Linked DNA regions of Stegostoma tigrinum. The protein of the gene in region 2 purifies or fractionates together with the protein of the main gene of each other region. This does not show direct contact. Links are inferred from orthologs where the notes say so. Each region holds a gene or a part of one and is shown on either strand. Other genes may lie near its edges.

Region 1 (9,748 bases), on a different chromosome or scaffold from region 2:
GTGATGGGTGACTGGAAGGCGTTGCCAGCGGATGTGGTAGAGGCGGGCACGACAGCATCATTTAAGATATATCTGGACAGATACACGAATGGGCAGGGAGCAGAGGGATACAGGTTCAGATAGAGGATCTGGATCAGTGCAGGCTTGGAGGGCCGAGGGGCCTGTTCCTGTACTGTAATTTTTTTCGTTCTTTGTTCCAATAGTCTACTTCCTGTCATACCCATTCTCACACCCATTGTGAGAATTCTTGATGTGAAAGTCAGAATGGGTACGTGCAACTTCGGGTCACCTGTTGCTGTGAAGGGCCTTCGTTTGTTCACTATCTAACAAAATCTCAGGGTAAGATACCAGCTGCATGCACCCCTTGTCCACATTGGCATCCAACAATTGTCAACCCCATAGGATCCTCATTGGAAAGGAACTTGCAGGTGATGGTCTTCCCATCTATCTCTGCCCTTGTCCTTCTAGAATGGAGTGGCCATGGGTTTGGAAGGATTTTGTCTGAGAATCTTCAGTGACTTTCTGCAGTGCATCTTGTGGATAGTAAATGCTGCTGCTAATGAGTGTTGGGTGAAAGGGAATGGATGCTTGTGGATATGGTGTCAATCAAATGGGCTGTTTTGACCCGGTTGGTGTCAAATTTCTTGCATGTTGTTGAGGCTGCTCCCATCCAGGCAAGTGGAGAGTTTTTCATCCTACTCCTGACTTGTGCATTATAGGATGACGGACAGGTTTTGAACAGTCAGGAGGTGAGTTACTCACTTAATTATTTCTAGTCTCTGGCCTGCTTTTGTGGTCATTATGTTTATGTGACAAGTCCAGTTGCGAGTTTGGTCTGTGGGAACCCCCAGCATGTTGATAGTTGGGGTTTCAGTGAATGCAACTCCATTGAAAACCTTTAAAACATGACAATATCCCAAATAACAGTCTCGTATATTAGTACAAATCCTTGTTGGTATTAATAGTGGCATACATCTGGGAATCCTCAACTAACCACAGTTGCAAGTACACATGGCTGATGTCAAACTTTGTGAAGCACAGCACCCCTGCCAGTTTCATGTACCAATCCTTTATCCAAGTGATTGGATATTTATCCATCTGTGAAAAACAATTTACCATTTGTTTAAAATCACCACAAAGGTGAACCGACCCATTTGGCTTCACCATCGGTATGAGCCATTCCGCAAATTGTACTGGTTTGGTGATTCATTTCTAGCCTTCTGATTTCACCTTCCCTTTCGCCAAAAAGGCAAATGGCACTGGATGGGCCTTGCAGGATCACAGAATTGCTTCTTGATCAATGTGTAAGGTGACCTCGGCTCTTTGATTGTCCCCAGACCTTCCTGTAAAACTACCAAGTGTTTAATTAGAACTTCACTGGTGCAGCCATTTTCTAATTGAAAAATGTTGAGTCAATTAAAGTGAATCATTCTCAACCAATTTCACCCCAATGTCATTTAGAACATAGATCAGTACAGCGCAGTACAGGCACATTGGCCCATGATGTTGTGCCGACCTTTTACCTTAATCCTAAGGTCTATCTAACCTCCACCCCTACCTTATACTATCATCCATATGCCTATCTAATAGCCGCTTACATGCTCCTAATGAGGCGGAATCCACTACCCGCTCTGGTAATGCATTCCATGCCCCGATCACTCTCTGAGTAAAGAACCTGATGTCTCCCCTATATCTACCTCCACTCACTTTAAAACTATGCCCCTCATAATAGCTACCTCCACCCTAGGAAAAAGTCTCTGACTGCCTCCTGTATCTATACTTTTGATCATTTTGTACACCTCTATCACCTCTCATCCTTTGTTGTTCTAAAGAGAAAAGCCCTAGCTCTCTCAACCTTTCCTCGTAAGACCTTCCCTCGATTCCAGACATCTTGATAAATCTCCCCTGCACCTTTTCCAACACTTCCACATCTTTCCTGCAATGAGGCGACCTGAACTGGACACAATACTCCAGATGTGGTCGAACCAGGCTTTTGTATAGCTGGAGCATAAATTCACAGCTCTTGAACTCAATCCCTCTATTAATGAAAGCTAACACACTATTTGCCTTCTTAACAACTCTGCCCGAAACGTCAGCTTTTGTGCTCCTAAGATGCTGCTTGGCCTGCTGTGTTCATCCAGCCCCACACTTTGTTATCTACCCACCTGGGTGGCAGCTTTCAGGGAACTGTGGACATTAACCCCAAGATCCCTCTGCTCCTCCACACTGCCAAGAATCTTTCCGTTAATGGCACGGTGGCTCAGTGTTAGCACTGCAGCCTCACAGCACCAGGGACCTGGGTTCAATTCCCGCCTCAGACGACTGTCTGTGTGGAGTTTGCAGATTCTCCCCATGTCTGTGTGGGTTTCCTCTGCATGCTCCGGTTTCCTCCCACAGTCCAAAGATGTGCAGGTTAGGTGGATTGGCCATGCTAAATTGCCCATAGTGTTTAGGGAGGCTGGGTCTGGGTGGGATGCTTCAAGGGACGGTGTGGATTTGTTGGGCCGAAGGGCCTCTTTCCACACTGTAGGGAATCTAATCTAATCTTAACCCTGTATTCTGCTTTCAAGATTTCCTTTCCAAAATGAATCACCTCACACTTTTCAGGGGTAAGCTCCGCCTGCACTTCTCAGCCCAGCTCTGCATCCTTTCAATGCCCCTTTGTAACCTAAAACAGCCCTTTGCACTGTCCACAACATGACCCACCTTTGTATCATCTGCAAACTTACTAATCCACCCTTCCACACCTTCATCCAAATCATTTACAAAAATCACAAATAGATGACCCAGAACAGACCCTTGTGGTACACTATTTATAACTGAGCACCATGTTGAATATTTTCCGTCAGCTACCACCCTTTGTCTTCTAAGGGTCTGCCAATTCTGAATCTAGTCTGCCAGATTTCCTCCTATCCCATACCTCCTTACCTTCTGCAGGAGCCTACCATGGGGAACCTTATCAAACGCCTTACTTAAATCCATGTATACCACATCCACTACTCCACCTTCATCCACGTGCCTTTCCAAGTTATCCTAAATTCTATCTCTCAGAGACCTTTCCAATAATTTGCCCACCACCGACCTGAGACTAACTTGCCTGTAATTTCTGGGGTTATCCTTATTCCCTTTTTTGAACAAGAGAATAACATTTGCCTCTCTCCAATCTTCCGGCACCATACCAGCGGAGAGTGAGGACGAAGAGATCACCAAAGGCCCTGTGATCTCTTCCCTCGCTTCCCATAGAATCCTTGGGTAAATCCCATCAGGCCCGGGGGACTTATCAATTTTCAACTTCCTCAAAATTCCTAGCACATCTTCCTTACTAACAGCAACCTCCTCCAGCCTACCAGCCTGTTTCACTCTGTCCTCTTCTAAAACTAGGTCTCTCTCAGTTGTGAATGCCGAAGAAAAGTATTCACTCCTCCTATCTCTTTACGATCCATGCACAAATTCTCTTTACAATCCTTGATTGGCCCTACCCTTTCTCTGGTCATTCTTTCATTCCTCACATAGGTGTAAAAAGCTTTGGAGTTTTCCTTGATCCTGTCTGCCAAGGTTTTCTCATGCCCCCTTATAGCTCTCCTAAGCCCTTTCTTCAGCTCCCCACTGGCTAACTTGTATCCCTCTAGAGCCTTTTCCATTTCTTGTTTTCTAAACCTTACAGAAGCATCCTTCTTCCTCTTAACCAGTCATTCAACACTCTTGAGAACCAAGGCTCTCTCACTTGACCGCATCTTCCCTGCCTGTTAGGGACAAACATATCGAGCACAAGCAGTATGCATTCCTTAAACAATCTCCACATTTCAATAGTACTCTTTCCTGACAACATCTGTTCCCATTTTATGTTACCCAGTTCTAGTCTAACAGAATTGTAATTACCCTTCCCCCATTATAAACCTTACCCTGCTGTATGTACCTAATCTTTTCCATGACTATTGTAAAAGTAACAGAGTTATGATCACTACCACCAAAATGCTCTCCTACCAACAGGTCTAACGCTTGGCCCGGTTCATTGCCAAGCACCAAATCCAAAGTAGATGTTCATTTTGCATTCTTTCAGAGGTGTTTTTGATTAATTGTTATGTCCATTTTCCTGGTCACCATGAAATTGCTCAAGTTGCTAAACGTTCTGGCCTCTTCTAATTTTGGTCTTTTCAGCAGACCATTTTTTAAAATTGCTTAACCATTGGTGGCCCTGGTACCTTCAATTTGCAGAAACATAAAAGAGTTGTAATGTACAAGGTCATTTGCTCAGAAAAATGTAGTGCATTCTTTCCGAATTTTTGGCCCATCTTTGACAGCAGGATTGAATGAGTCAAGCTTCCCAAATAACAGCATGATGTCAGAAAAGCTAACACTATCTAAAAGGCAACTATGATGAGTAAATACCTTCAAGAGTGTGTTATTTCATTGTTCCTCCTGAAATAACTCTATACCGGCGAGTACACAATCACCAAATCACCCTTTATTTATATGTGGGAAGTCCTTGACTTTTTGTCTTATTCCACAGATGAGTTTTCCCTGCACTTTCTGTTTTCATTTCAGATCTCATGCATCCAGTTTTGGCCATTACACCAGATTGGATTCACCACATTGTTTCTCACCTTGCTTTATTTTCTTTAACAAACAGCTTACAGGTGTTCATTTTGCATTCCTTCAGAGGTGCTTTTGATTGATTGTTATGTCCATTTTCCTGGCCACCATGAAATTGCTCAAGTTGTCAAATGTTCCGACCTCTTCCAATTTTGGTCTCTTCAGCAGACCTTTTTTTTATTGCTTAACCATTGGCACTGGTACCATCAATTTGCAGGAACATAAAAGTGTTGCGATGTAGAAGGAGACTATTTGGCGCATTGTGTTTACACTAATTCCTCAAAGGAACATCATTAAGCTGGTCTCATACTTCCCCCCATACCCTTGCACATTATTTCTATCCAAACAATCATTCAATGCCCTTTTGAACGCCTCGTTGAACCTGCATCCAGCATGCTTTCAGACAGTAACTACTCACTGTATGAAAATAATGATTTTTCTCCGTTGCATTTGCAGCAGTTAAGTGGGCCTTGACCTTTGGAATTCCCTTCCTAAACTTCTTCATGTCGCTCTTTCTTGTCATTTATGATGCTTTTTAAATTCTACCTCTTTGCGTGAGCTTGTGGTCGTCAGCTGGCCGAACAGCTCCTTGAGTGTCTTGGGATCAAGCGCCTGCCTATTTATCACCCCGGTGAAATACTCCAGTTTTCAGGCTGAGTAAATTCAAGTCACACAATCAGCAGTTCAGCTTGACCCTTCAGAGAGGTAAGCAACCCTGGTGATTATTTGACAAATCACAAACATGTGAGGCTCCAAATAAAAGGACTGATGTCTTGGGGCAATTTTTCCCAAACATTTCCTGGCTGACAGAATGTTAACATCAGTAAATGATTTTCTGAAGAAGGGTCTAGGTCTGAAGAAGCCTTCCTGCGCCTCTGATGCTGCTTGGCCTGCTGTGTTCATCCAGGCCCACACCTTGTCATCTCAGATTATCCAGCATCTTCAACTCTACCGTCATCCCAGTGAGCTGTTCGTCTCCATAGCGACAGACCACACCCCCCGCATCCCCAGGCCGGACGTGACGCAAAGGAAGTTTGTCCTGCTGACCTGAGGCCTGTGCGGAGAGGCTGCGAGGCGCAAAATGATTCCTACAGAGGACGCGTCCGCCAGGAAAAGGCATATCGAGGAGAAGCTTCAGCAGGTAAATGGCCGGGGTAGCCGTGGAAGAGGAATGGATAGTTGGAGTGCCGTGTGCCGGTCTCTGTCTGCAGTCCCCGTCCAGGGGTCTGGTCGGGGCGAAAGCGGGTGCGATGTGGTGTTATAAGTATTGCCAACTGCTATCCTAATGATGGTCTGATGCCTTTGCATTTACTATTAACTAGGAAGTCAAGTGTCTTTGATTAGATGCATATTTGTGACTTTTCTTTAATAACCAGGAGCAAGAAACCTTGTCGTTCATAAGAGAAAGCTTGGAGAAAAGTGACCAACTGACCAAAAATATGGTAAGTTCATCTTACTTCAGTCGTAGGTCAATGTTTTGTATATTAGAAGCAGCTGGTAAGGTGGACAGTGATAGGGGTTTGGTGGGGTGTCAGAAAGGGTGTTACTACACTACAGACCCTGATTTTATCATGTTTTGTGCATGTGTGGGCTAAATGGCAGTGTGTCACACTGACATATTTCCATTTACTAAAAGAGAATATCATGTTTGCTCCTGGATTGTCAGAGATGATGGTGTGTGTACTACTGTTTATCTCCAGCTCCTGGGGTAAGAAAGAAACTGGGGTTTGCACAATCAACTGTTTTACTTGTCTGTCTGGGTGGTGGAGGTCAAGGGTTTGGAAAGTGGTGTTGAAAAAGGATCGGTGAGTTATTATGCTTCATCTTTTGGATAACATGTACTGTTACTACTGTGCATTGATAGTGGGAACAGTGAAAGGTGAAGATGGTGGGCTGGAGTACCAGTTAAGCTGCTTAGTCCAGGATGGTTTTGAGATTCTTGACAGTTTTTTTGTACTTGTGCTCATCCGTGCAAGTGAGGAGTATGCCATCATACTCTTGCCTTGTGTCTTGTAGATGATGGACAGGATAGGGGAGGTGATGGCCTAGTATTAATGCTGGACTGTTGACCCAAGAACCTAGGTAATGTTATGGGGACCCAGGTTCAAATCTTACCATGGCAGATTGTGGAATTTGAATTCAATGAAAACCTACAACTGAGAATCTAGTGATGGCCTTGAATCCATTGATGATTGTCAGGGGAAAAATCCATCTGGTCCACTAATGTCCTTAGGGAAGGAAACTGCCTTTCCCTTACCTAGTCTGGCCTACATTTGAATCCAGACTCTCAGCAATGTGGTTGACTCCTAACTGCTCTCTATGCAATTAGGGATGGGCAGTAAATGCTGGCTTAGCCAGCAATGTCCTCATCCTTTGAAAGAATAATAAAAGTTGGGGAGTCTGAGTTACTTGCAATAAAATTCCCAGTCCCTGTCGTCTTTTGTGCTTCCAGTAATACGTGGCTAGTCCAGTTCAGCCTGTGGTCAGTGGGATCCTTTACAATATCGTCAGTGATTTCATTTGTGGTAATACCAAAGGGAGGTGCTTAGATTCTATCTTGTTGGAGTAGTTGCATTTGGAAGGCAATGAGTGTTAATTGCCATTAGTTAGCTCAAGCCTCACATTGTGCAGGTCTAGTTGCATTTGAACATAAACTGCAAGTATTTGGGGTGTTGTGAAGTGTGCTGAACACCGTGCAATCATCAGAGAATGTCCCAATTTCTGACCTTATGATGGAGGGAAAGGCATTGAAGCAGCCAAAGGTGATTTAGCTTAGGACGTTACATGAGGAACTCCTGTGTGTGATGTGAATGAAATGTATAGATGTTTCAAAGTCCTCAACCCTATCTGGTATTTGAATACTGTAGAGTGATGCTGTTGGGCTGGATGGGATTATATTTTCACCATTTTGAAATATTTCAAATTGTGTTACATGTAAAATATTTTTTCTCTTTATCATCTCTTTTGCCTGATGAGCTTTATTCTATTTTTAAAACAGGTCTGCAGGATTTCACGTTTGTGTTTATAGAGGATTGTCTCATTAGATTGGAGATAATGGGAACTGCAGTTGCTGGATAATCTGAGATAACAAAGTGTGGAGCTGGATGGATACAGCAGGCCAAGCAGCATCTCAGGAGCACAAGAGCTGACGTTTTGGGCCTAGACCCTTCATCAGAAAGAGTCTAGGCCCAAAATGTCAGCTTTTGTGCTCCTCTGATGCTGCTTGGCCTGGTATGTTCATCCAGCTCTGCACTTTGTCTCATTAGATCACTTTTTTTCTCAAGCCAGCTTCCACTTTGGAATTAGACTTGCCAATGATAAGCTCAGCTGGGACCATTACATTTGGGGGCTCTTGCAGGATTTGAATTCAGTGGGTTTAATAGGAATCTGTGTCTTTTTTAAAGTAATCGGTACGTGAGGCTTCTGCATCTAAAATGGCTGTGTTGTGATGAAGTATGTTGCATGGAATTTGAAGATTATTTTGAGTGTTATTGGGTTTATTTGGTAGTATTTGAAATCAAATCAGGATCTCTCAGGATGAGATGCTTTGTGTTTATCCACCCTGTAAAAAGGTAAAGTCATCATCGTCTTACCAGATCATAGGGCTGCACTGTGATAAGAGAGGCATGACCGGTGATGGTTTAACCTGAGGGTCACCACATCTCAAAGGGAAAAATCTGAGAAGCATAGTCGTTCAGAAATTCAGCTGCTGCAGAAATTGAACTCACGTTGTTGACATCACTGCATCGCAAACAAAACTGTCCAGCCAACTGACCTAACTGGTAATATTTATCCAGAATTGGAAGAAAGCAAGCCAGAAATTGGGATGCGATGGCTGGAATTAGTTAAGGTACAGTTGAAAATGAAGAGACTTGAACTAGAAACACACCCAGGAAGCTGGAAAGTGAGGAGAAAGAAAATCAAGAGTAATGGACATAGTTTAGGAACCTTGAAATTGAAAGGGAGAAAAACAAGAGGGGTATAGAATTAGTAGAACTCAACTCCTAAAAGATAAATAACTTTTATAGCATAAGTTGGCCAAAGAACAACTTGGAGGAAAGGAAGAAAGGAGGAGGTTGATGAGATTGGAGGGTGATTCTGACTAGAATGAATGATTTGCTTGGTGCCCACATTTACTGCGGTTGGATTCAAGAAGTATTTTATTTCATGTACTGAGACATTAACAGTGCAGAATGAGGCTATTGGGCTATTATGTCCACACCAATCAATCAACAAAGATCTGACCACCGTACTCCTATTTTCTTGCACTGACACCAGGCACGAGCCTCTGAATCCTGAGGAGGGACTGAGAGACTGTATGTTGCATAACAGCAAAGTCTTTACTCCACATTTCTAGGTTTCCATCCTTTCGTCATTCGAAAGCCGGCTAATGCAGTTGGAGAATTCCATCATTCCAGTCCACAAACAGACAGAAAATCTGCAGCGCCTGCAGGACAACGTGGAAAAAACTCTCTCTTGTTTGGATCATGTTATCAGCTATTACCATGTGGCTAAGGACACAGAGAAGATCATCAAAGAGGGGTGAGCAGAATTGGAGTGCGAAAGTTAATTTCATTCCCTGTTCATGTTAGTCAGCAACAGCTCCTTTACTTGTATCAGAGATAATGGGAACTGCAGATGCTGGAGATTCCAAGATAATAAAATGTGAGGCTGGATGAACACAGCAGGCCAAGCAGCATCCCAGGAGCACAAAAGCTGACGTTTCGGGCCTAGACCCTTCATCAGAGAGGGGGATGGGGGGAGGGAACTGGAATAAATAGGGAGAGAGGGGGAGGCGGACCGAAGATGGAGAGTAAAGAAGATAGGTGGAGAGGGTGTAGGTGGGGAGGTAGGGAGGGGATAGGTCAGTCCAGGGAAGACGGACAGGTCAAGGAGGTGGGATGAGGTTAGTAGGTAGCTGGGGGTGCGGCTTGGGGTGGGAGGAAGGGATGGGTGAGAGGAAGAACCGGTTAGGGAGGCAGAGACAGGTTGGACTGGTTTTGGGATGCAGTGGGTGGGGGGGAAGAGCTGGGCTGGTTGTGTGGTGCAGTGGGGGGAGGGGATGAACTGGGCTGGTTTAGGGATGCAGTGGGGGAAGGGGAGATTTTGAAACTGGTGAAGTCCACATTGATACCATATGGCTGCAGGGTTCCCA
Region 2 (10,303 bases):
GGTCAACCAAAGTGAAAGATATTTAGAATGTCTTACTTACTCCACTTTGTTAACTAAAGGGTGAAATCTGATGGCAGAGATCCAACCTGCACAATGAAAAAATGTGTGAATTGTTTGATGTAGACTGAAGGAGACCCCAGTTATAGCTGTGGCTTGTCATGTGTTACTGTTGAAGTAATTGTTCTTCCCCATAGCTTTGAATATATCATGCTGTACTCTTCCTCCTCCTCGCATCCTCACTGTGCTTAAATCAAGACATAGTATGCCATCTCCTCTCCAAAGTCATTCTTTACCAACAGTTTAAAACTGTGGAACTTAGTATCTTCCTTCCTGAAAACTCTTATCTTTTAAAACCCATGGCCAAAATCAATAAATCACTGGGATAACAAAGTGTGGAGCTGGATGAACACAGCAGGCCAAGCAGCATCTTAGGAGTACAAAAGCTGACGTTTCAGGCCTAGACCCTTCATCAGAAAAGGGGGCTGGGGAGGGGATTCTGAAATAAATATGAAGGGGGGTAGGCGGACCGAAGATGGATAGAGGAGAAGATAGGTGGAGAGGAGGAGCAGATGATTACCTGTACATCCGCCAATGAGGTATACTGCATCCGCTGTACCCGGTGTGGTTTCCTCTACACTGGGGAAACCAAGCAGAGATTTGGGAAATGCTTTGCAGAACACCTACGCTCGGTTCGCAATAAAGAACTGCACCTCCCAGTCATGAACCATTTCAACTCTCTCTCCCATTCCTTAGACATGTCCATCCTGGGCCTCCTGCAGTGCCATAATGATGCCACCCATAGGTTGCAGGAACAGCAACTCATATTCCGCTTGGGAACCCTGCAGTCCAATGGTATCAATGTGGATTTCACCAGCGTCAAAATCTCCCCTCCCCCCAATGCATCCCAAAACCAGCCCAGCTCGTCCCCGCCTGCCTAACCTGTTCTTCCTCTCACCTATACCCTCTCCTCCCACCTCAAACCACACCTCCATTTCCTACCTACCAACCTCATCCCGCCCCCTTGACCTGTCCGTCCTCCCTGGACTGACCTATCCCCTCCCCACCTCACCACGCATACTCTCCTCTCCACCTATATTCTCCTCTAACCATCTTTGGCCCGCCTCCCCCCTCGCCCTACCTATTTCAGAATCCTCTCCCCGTCCTCCTTTTCTGATGAAGGGTCTAGGCCTGAAACGTCAGCTTTTGTACTCCTAAGATGCTGCTTGGCCTGCTGTGTTCATCCAGCTCCACACTTTGTTATCTCGGATTCTCCAGCATCTGCAGTTCCCATTATCTCTGATCTCAATAAATCACTGGTTCTTGATTTACCATTTTATCTCCAGCTTTCATAACCTTGATGCTGCACTGCATCACAGACTTTAGCCTGTCAACAAGATCAAGTAATGTGGCTCAATGACCCAAATGAAAGAATATTATATGATCAGCAGACGCATAACCTTCTTTTACCACTTTTGCATTTTGTACATTGGGAAAGAAAAAAAGCTGCCAACTCAGGGCATTGGAGTAAGATGCTATAAACCATTTTAGCCTGATGTGTTGTATTACAAAAAGCCAGTTGGCGAAGAACAGAACCTTCTTAACGCAAAGATAAACCTTTTAATTTAACAACAGTTTTAGTTTGTCTAGCTCCTCTGCTAGGAATTCCATCCTTACACTTTATTTCCAAAGTCGATGGAGACTGATTTAGCTCAGTCATTACCAAGATCATCATTTGGCCAAGCACTATCCACTCAAAGTTTCCAAACTGATAGGTAAAATGGGAAGCTAAAGCTCCTAAGAGTTTACCCTGGCCTAGCAGATGGATGAATTTGACATCTTTGGTAGTTGGGCCATTCAGATACAGCGAGGCAGTGACTGGGTTGAATTGATTTCCAGAGATCAATTTACTGCAGAAAGGAAGCATACAAAGGAATTTTGAGTGAACGGTGTCTGTTCAAAGCAGATTTGAGACAATCTCACAAACAGACAGACCTTACAAGACATTGGGAATTGTAAAGAAGCCTGGGCCAGATGCCCCACTGATTGGTCTCTCCATAATCACTCCCTGGTTATGCCAGTCTTCCACCTACAGCATAACAGTGTTCAAACAATTGCATATCTTGAATCTTACTTATGCTGAATAAAATATAACCAAAGTATTATTACTCTGAATCATTTTGGAACTCGGGACAGGAGGCTAAATGACTCCCAGAATCCAGATTTTTTAGCACGCACATGACTGATCTTGATTCATATTTTACACTAGAATTAGTTTAACTGAAATGAGTGTTCAGACTAGGTGGCTGCAGAGTGAGAAAGAAACAATATTGCTTTAAAGTTTGGCTTGAAGCTGCTGAACAGTACAGAACATATAAGGGACAATAGTGAAGTCAGATTAACAGAGACAGAATTACACTTGCTGATACAGTAGGGATGTTGAGCAAGACAGTAAAGTGGCTAGCAGAAATAAACTACAACTTAAAAAACAAACACAATTTTACTGAGGAAAAAACCTCTCTATAGCAGGAATCAAGTTTGTGTTATGAAACATGAAATACTCCCTAAAACAAATACCATTACTGATTTTAAAAAAATGTTTCTGATTGCAAATACATCCTACAACAAAACGGCATTCACAATTTTGCTGCAAATAAATTGTTCATAAAACTGGGGAAAAAATCTTCTCAGACAGTGTCCAAATAAAGGACTTGATTTTGTAATGAAATGTTATAAATAAAGCTACAAAACCAAATACTTCTCTGAAAATCATAAATAATTAGGCATTTATGAAACTAAAGTGATGCAAAATGTATATTGACATTGGTAACAGGTATAGTACTACAAATAATCATCCTATCAAGTTGTCTAATCATGAACAAAAAGTAATGTCCCATTTTGTTGGTAGCTGCAACAAAACAGTGGTCATTCCCCACTACATTGCCCCATATGACTTGGTGTTATCAGAATGGAAGAATGGAAATGGAATTCTGCAGAGATACTGAGTGCCAGTTTGTCTCTGTGATAGCAATCACCCTTCTGAAGGCAAAAAGACTGAAGCTTCAACACTAGCACAGGACTCTGCAAAAACTAACGTGACACTTTAATGTAGTACTGCGGGAGTGAATGATCATAACTCCACTTTTCTGCTAGGGTGTTACCCAGAGCTCAGTTCACCTGTTTAAGCTGCTCTCAAATCAATATGCCCTCATTCTGGTTGAACATAGTGCACTACAATAAGAAACTTTAGCTACCTGACCAAGACTAAAGGATAGTAAGTGCTGGATTGAAATTTTGACATAATCCTTTAACTGACACTTCACAATAACAATTCTTTAAGGCTATCGTAAACTTTTGACAATTGCCTTATGTAAAGGTAACTTTCTAATATATTTCATCTCCAGTTCTAGGACAACAATAAATAACAACACAGCTGAACAATAACACGACAGCGTGGGGTAGCAATAGCACAGAGAAGGAAGCAAGTCCCAGATCTTGAAGCTGTAATATCATCATTGACAAGGGTTCGCAATGATTGCCATTTACCAGGCCCTGAGACTGCAATAACACGCACAGTTGGATCTGAGGATTTTAATAAGATTGCTAGACTGAGAACACCAGACAAGCACAGACTCCCATAGACCCGCACTAACATTTACCCAGAGCCAGCGACTGCAATGTCACCAGACTGCACTCTTAATCTGAAACGAAATGCGTCCCGAACCGCAAATGTCACTGACTGTCCTACCCTGGGAACGAAATAACACCACACCCGGGCTCGTTTGACCGTTTCTTGTCTTTTGACGCCTCTCTGCACTTCAAGCAGCAGGAACAGGCCCCAGGCCCGGGCCTAGCACCACCTTCACCACTCCAGATCCTCCTAACCCTGCCTGGGGTACTACGGCCTCTCGCAGCGCCAGAGGGACGGCGGGAAGACAATAACGAAATCGAACACCACGAGCATTCAAACCGTGTCCCGCGACGGCACGAAACTCCGACCGGCCAGATTAGAAACCGCGCCGTCCGACGGGTAGTGTAGTCGGCCTGTCGCATTGGGGAAACTACATAACCCAGCATGCACCACGGCAGAGCAAGTACATTTCCGGCCAGCTGGGGAACGGTTTGGAGATTGTACTTTGGCTGCGGTCTCCATTCCTATCTGCATTAGACTATCCAAGAAATCAGTGAGCTATGTCTAGAGCAGTCTGAAGCTGTCGTAGCAAACATAATTTATCTAAACCAAAGTCTGTATACGCTGCAAAGAGAGTCTATCTTAAAAATAATCTCTACAAACCACAACAAACAATCTATGGCCGAAATTATAGCAAAGTATACTAATAGACACTGGGAGTTACATAAAATCTGGGATCTGGAGTGGGCCATTCAAACCCTTATGCGTGAGCGATGTCAAAAAGATCACGGCTGATCTCACTGCCTTGCCTCTACTTGCCTGCTTGTTTCCCATAGCCCTTGACTTCCTTGTTGATCAAAACCCTAGCTAACTCAACCTTGAATGACTTCAAAGATCCAGCCTTTGCTTCTGCCTGTGGAAGACAATTCAAGGCTAACCAGTTGCTGAGAGAAGTGTGCGAAAGCAAGTTGGCTATGTTGATAGAACGTGAGATTGTCTTAAACTGGGGTTGCGAGCCCAGCTAGTCCAGGCACCACATTTTGGTGAGGATGTGAAGGCATAGGAGAGAGTTCAGAAAAAAAATCATGAGAACGGTTCTCAAGATGAGAAAGTTATGAAGGACCATTTCTGTTGGAGAGTAGAAGGCTGAACAGAGATTTAATAGATGCAGTGAGCAATCCTACCAAAATAGATCGGGAGAAACTTACCATTTGTGAAGAGATAGAGAACATAATGACATAGTTTTACAATAATTAGTAAAAGAAACAAAGGCAATGAGATTTTTTTCACATAATGAGTGGTTCTGTTTAAGGTGTACTAACTGAGATTGTAACAAAGGCAGATTCAGTTGAAGCACTCACAGTAGAGTTAGACTATTATCTGAAAAGGAAGAATATACAGGGTTTCAGACAGAAGACCAGGAAATGGCACTAAGTGAATATCCCATCCGGAGAGCTGGCAGAGGCATGATGGGTCAAACTGCCCTATAATTTGTCAAATTATGTGAAGAAATGCTTGCATTCGAACAGCACCTTTCATTATCTCAACACATTCCAAAGCTTTTTAGCCATTGAAATATTTTAAACAATTGTTACTGTAATAATATAGGGAATTACAGTAACCAATTGTTCACAGGACAAACCCACAGGATAATTTGATAATGACCACATAATTCATTGTTGCTACAGGAATAAATACAGCCCTGGGCACTGGGGAGAAATGCCACTGCTTTTCATCAAATTGTCACATGGTGTTTTCACATTGATCTGAGTGCACTTGAGAGCACACAGTGAGAGTAAGTCTTACCTTAGTGTCTCAATTATAAGGCAGCACCTGCAACTGTGCAGCACTAACACAGTACCGCAATGGCAGTTTCAGCCCAGAATTTATTCTCCACTTCCTGGATCAGAACTTGAACTCAAGACATTCTGCCTCATCCACAACTTGTGTTCCAGCTGAATATTAGTAGCAGGAGTATTCAACACCAAGAGTCTGCTCAAATCATGGCTGGTCTGCACCTCAATTGCATTTGTCTGCCTTGCTCCACATTCTTTACCACTTACCCAACAAAAATCTACTGATATCTGTCATGGACACCTCCAGCAGCCACAGAATTTTGGGGGATAATGTTCTGATTTATGCCCATTTTTCCCTTTTTAATTCACATCAAAATGTTCTTGCAATAAATAGACATAACAATAGCACTGTGTTAAAGAAAGATAGCCTAGAATTTACAACTTCAAACAACACTTGTCTATCTTTGGTGCCTTGTTGAGTTGTATGCTACTTGCAAAGACACTGATAGCAGCAATTCCAAGACGTTTTGACAAGATCTGTACAAATACTTTATTGTAGGTTTTTAAACTAAGTATTTACAATGTTTTGTAATTATAAAACAATAATTAGTGCACACTGCAAAATGGCAGAACTTGAAGGATTCTTTCATTGTCAAACATTGAAAAAAACATTCATTGGAGAAACTGACTGTTTACATGTTCTCCTGATAGATCCACACAATCTGAAAGAAAATGAGGATAATTTTCTTCTATGTATTTTCATTAAGGAAATATGGAATTCAATGATGTAAACTGTACTGTAATGAAGATTTTACAAAGTTTTGTTTTTGAACAGAACCAATCTTCTCAAGCTTTAGAAAAACACAGTTATTGCATATATATATATTTCAAACCCTATATTAAAAACTTTACATTTACAAAGACCTCCAGTTATTATTTTACCATTGAAAACCCTTTTGTCCATATTTATTCTGGAAAGTGTAGCAACACCACATAGGGTAGTGGATAGAATAGTTTTACATAGGGAAGGAAAAATAATAGAGCTTGCAATTATATAGTATTTCTCCAATGTTAGAACATTCCAAAATTCTCATGAGCAATTGAATACTTTTGAATTGTCATCACTGAAGATATGACAGCTAATCCATGCACAACACAACGCAATAATGAGTTCATACTTTATTTTAGTGAACTTGTTTTAGGGATAATTGTTGACTTGGACTTGGACACCAACTCCCCTGTTTTTTCTTTGAAGTAGTACTATGAGATCATTTACATTTACCTGAAAGGGCAGATGGACCCTCAGTTTAAAGCCTCACAGGTCATATCCATTTAAAGGTGGAGACATAGGAACCTATCATAGAAGTGAACAGGAAAGGACAGAGTGTATGATGCCAAACCTGGACTGAAATACATTATTGTGTTTTTCTCCATCTGAAAACAATATTATGTCTTGACTACATGTGTGCAACACTACTTAAGATTGACTGGCATTGAAAATAAAATGTAATTTAAAACTTACAAATGATCTCAGAAATATCTGCCAGTGAAAACTTCTAAAATATGCAATAGGAACTGCAGAACAACTGGGTGTAGAAACCTTGACGTTCTCCAAAAGGGAAGTGGGGAGCTGACAGGGAACAAGTACTTAGCAGTCATAGGTTTGAACTGTTAAACACCTATTTGTTACAGCAGTGGGTTTATGAAATTTGTGTTGTTGTTGTTTGTTGTTGTGGAGTGGGTTTATAAAGTTGACTTTAAGGCAATTTGTTGGAACCGAGGAATGGCTATCAGCAAATATTTGACCAACAAGTGCTTTTTTGCAATAATCTGCACTATCCCAAAAGAAAAAGATTATTAGACACAAACAAAAGCAAAGTATTAAAGATATGACATATGTTAAAGCTAAATTGTCATTTCATAAATACATGTTGCTTTCTGTACATTATTGCTGTTTTTATATTTATTTACAAAAATGAGCAGCAACATTGACAAAGTATTTTAACAGTTTGTAAACAGTGATGGAGAAGCACTTGTTCTCAAAATTTTATCTCTTTAATACTTGATTTAATAGGCTAGGCATATTTGTTTCTCTTTCTGGTGTTCTGAAAGAGACAACACAGAAGAATAAACATTTTTGAGACAACAGGCAAAGAGAATTATATAAATCTTCACAGGGAAGCTGTCTGAATTAAAACGTAATGTTGGGGTTATCACATTTAATATGTGATGTATGGAACAATGTTTAATGTCTCCCAGTGATGTACTGAGGTGAAATCCCTTTGATCTTGCAGTAATTAGGTCACAGATATAATGAATGAATGCAATGGGGTAAAATTGTTTAAAACGGTATCTACTTTCAACCTTAGCTCTAATTTATTGTTACAAGTAACATCGATATTTTTATGTAGATGCAATCAGAATGATGTTCTTAAGTAAATATTTAATAACATGTGATGCTCCTATCTTACTATGTCAATGAAACAATTTGCTGTGTCTGATTTCATATGATTATTGTCTGTGTTTTCTGATTCTTATGATTATGACACTTTTGAACAAAAAATACAAAATCATTTTGACTTGGTAAGTATTCAAAGCATCATACAAATGCAAACGAAGAAGATGAGGAATATGTTGCAGGCACCTGTGTTTATAACAGAATTGCAAATGGGATATTGGCATTATTGGCAAGGCAATAATTTATTGACACTCACTGATTACTTTGAGAAGGTAATGATGCAACTGAGTATCTGAGTTTGTTATGGTCTCTTCCAGAGCATAACAGAAAGTCTGTTATGAAATCACACACAGAGACCACACTGGACAAAGGTGAAAGGTTTCCTTCCTGAAAGGACGTCAGTGTTTTTGGACAATCCAACAGCCACAGGGTCACATTCAATGTGAACTTACACTCTATAGAGGTATAGCCCAACAATATATCCATTATACTACTCAGGCCCTGGGTAGATTTTTCTACTTAGGGTCAGGACCCTGACATCGGGATCAAATCCTGTTTCCAACTCTGCATTTTGTCAGGACGGGTCGTCTGACACAGATTTTGCCTTGATTCTAGCCAATTAGAGACTTGAAAACATGCCTGCCATCCAATTAACACTGGTGGGTGGGCTTTTAAAGCACAGAAGCCAATGAGACACCCTCCAGCACAGAAGGAACTGCGGCCCACCATTGTTGGCAAGGAAGAAATAGGATTTTTCCATTTTGAAGAATATCCCAGTCGGCCTGTGGTCCAAGACCTTAATTGGGCTCTAATGACCCTAACTACCTACGATCCAGTTGCAGGTGGGTAGCTGTTCCACCCTGACCAGGCCCTCACAAAAATGGCTTGGGGCCAGAATTATGCTGGTAAACTGGCATGCTAGCTGGTGGTGCAAAATGATGCCTTGTTCCTGTTGCATAACAGGATGAAAATCCTGCTCTATGTTCTGTTACAGAGCAGGTTTGAACATGCATGATTGCGGACACAGGTCCAAATACAATAGAAAATCAATATATAGGGGAGGTGCATCTCTAAACTCTGTTATTCTACATGTTGGATCCAACAGCATGCATTTACATAGTGTCTTTGAAGCAAACAGATGTCCCAAGATACTTCATTTCCTTCTTCATTTAAAGAACAGGAAAACTCCCTGCACTTTATGCTGTCTGTCAAGCACATGGTTCGCAAAGTAGTGTGCATAACAATCTTAGTTAATTATGCATTAGATGGTTTAAAGTGGAAAAAGAAACAAGCCCAGGTACAATACTGAGAAAGGAAGATCCTACACTTCATCTCTGATCTGTGCTGTCCTGTTAAGCATCGCAGGATTGTAATTAGCCTGAATGTGGTCATTTCAGGTAAAATACACCTCATTTCTCCATGATCACCAACATTCAGGTGCTGGAGCTCTGTGGATATCAGGTTCAGACTGGATGAGGCTGAGCTATTCAGTAGATCTGCTATTTCATAGACTGATAACATGAAAAAAATTTCAGACAAGGTATCAACAGCAGAACAGTGGACAACTGTTTTAAGGACAAGACCAGCAACTCAATGGTCAAGAATAAAAAGAAATTGAATGTTTTTGTACCTGGCAACATAAAGGCTACATATCTTTTAACTAAATAGGTGCCCTCATTTTAACAGTCCGTAGACTCAATACCGTATGTTAAAGTCAGGAATTTATTCCATTCACTTGGACGCTAAGACTTGAAAGCACAGACCCTAAGCTTTGGAATTTCCCAGCTGTCCCACTGATCCTTTTTTCCTCTCTAGTTCTCTCTTCTTTTAGAACACTCCTTAAAGCCTACCTCTTTGGTCAAGTTGTCCTAATATCTTCTTTGCAGGTCTTAGGATCAAACTTCATCTGCTAATGTAGTTTTAAAGTGCTTTAAACCTTTAAAATTCTGTTAAAAGCACTGTACAAATCCAATTATTGTTCTACCTGTGGATTCTTCAGACATAAATATCAAGTATTTCAATGTTTTTCATGTGCTCCCAAGACTGCTACATTCATACACAATACATCATAGGCAAATTATAATGAAAGTCCTCATACAAAATTGCAAAATAAATGGCAATAGGTAATACATCAGGGTTTACAGCAAAGTAAATATTTTCATTAGACATTCTTAGAGTAAAGGCATTTTGAAATAAAAACTGTAAAATAATTTCATTATAAAACAAAAATTACAAGTATGTGTTCTGTGTAATTTTGTGAGTCAATGAATTTAACAAACAACTGGGCATATTTCTTTGTAAGCTTGACTGTATGTTGTGTGGATTGTCACAAGACCAAGGAGGAGAGAGTGAGGGTTCGCGTTTGATGACTGTGTGGATTAGGTCATGACCTTTGAACTGCAGCGGTATTTTGTGTGTCTC

The links.
Region 1: the proteins of exoc3 (region 2) and exoc7 purify together in Homo sapiens (affinity purification with mass spectrometry; 5 studies listed by BioGRID and IntAct, counting the BioPlex papers as one, with this or other methods). This does not show direct contact. The link is inferred for Stegostoma tigrinum from reciprocal best matches to the Homo sapiens genes EXOC3 and EXOC7.

Annotation. Positions count from the first base shown.
Region 1 is NC_081375.1:4,040,124-4,049,871, forward strand, and holds the start of exoc7 (exocyst complex component 7), read left to right. Parts: upstream 1-5,604; 5' UTR 5,605-5,674; coding exon 5,675-5,734; intron 5,735-5,969; coding exon 5,970-6,035; intron 6,036-8,950; coding exon 8,951-9,135; intron 9,136-9,748. UniProt on the Homo sapiens protein: Component of the exocyst complex involved in the docking of exocytic vesicles with fusion sites on the plasma membrane.
Region 2 is NC_081355.1:20,902,095-20,912,397, forward strand, and holds the start of exoc3 (exocyst complex component 3), read right to left. Parts: upstream 4,045-10,303; 5' UTR 3,746-4,044; intron 87-3,745; 5' UTR 41-86; intron 1-40. Other genes in the region: aryl hydrocarbon receptor repressor-like, read right to left, coding at 10,112-10,303. UniProt on the Homo sapiens protein: Component of the exocyst complex involved in the docking of exocytic vesicles with fusion sites on the plasma membrane.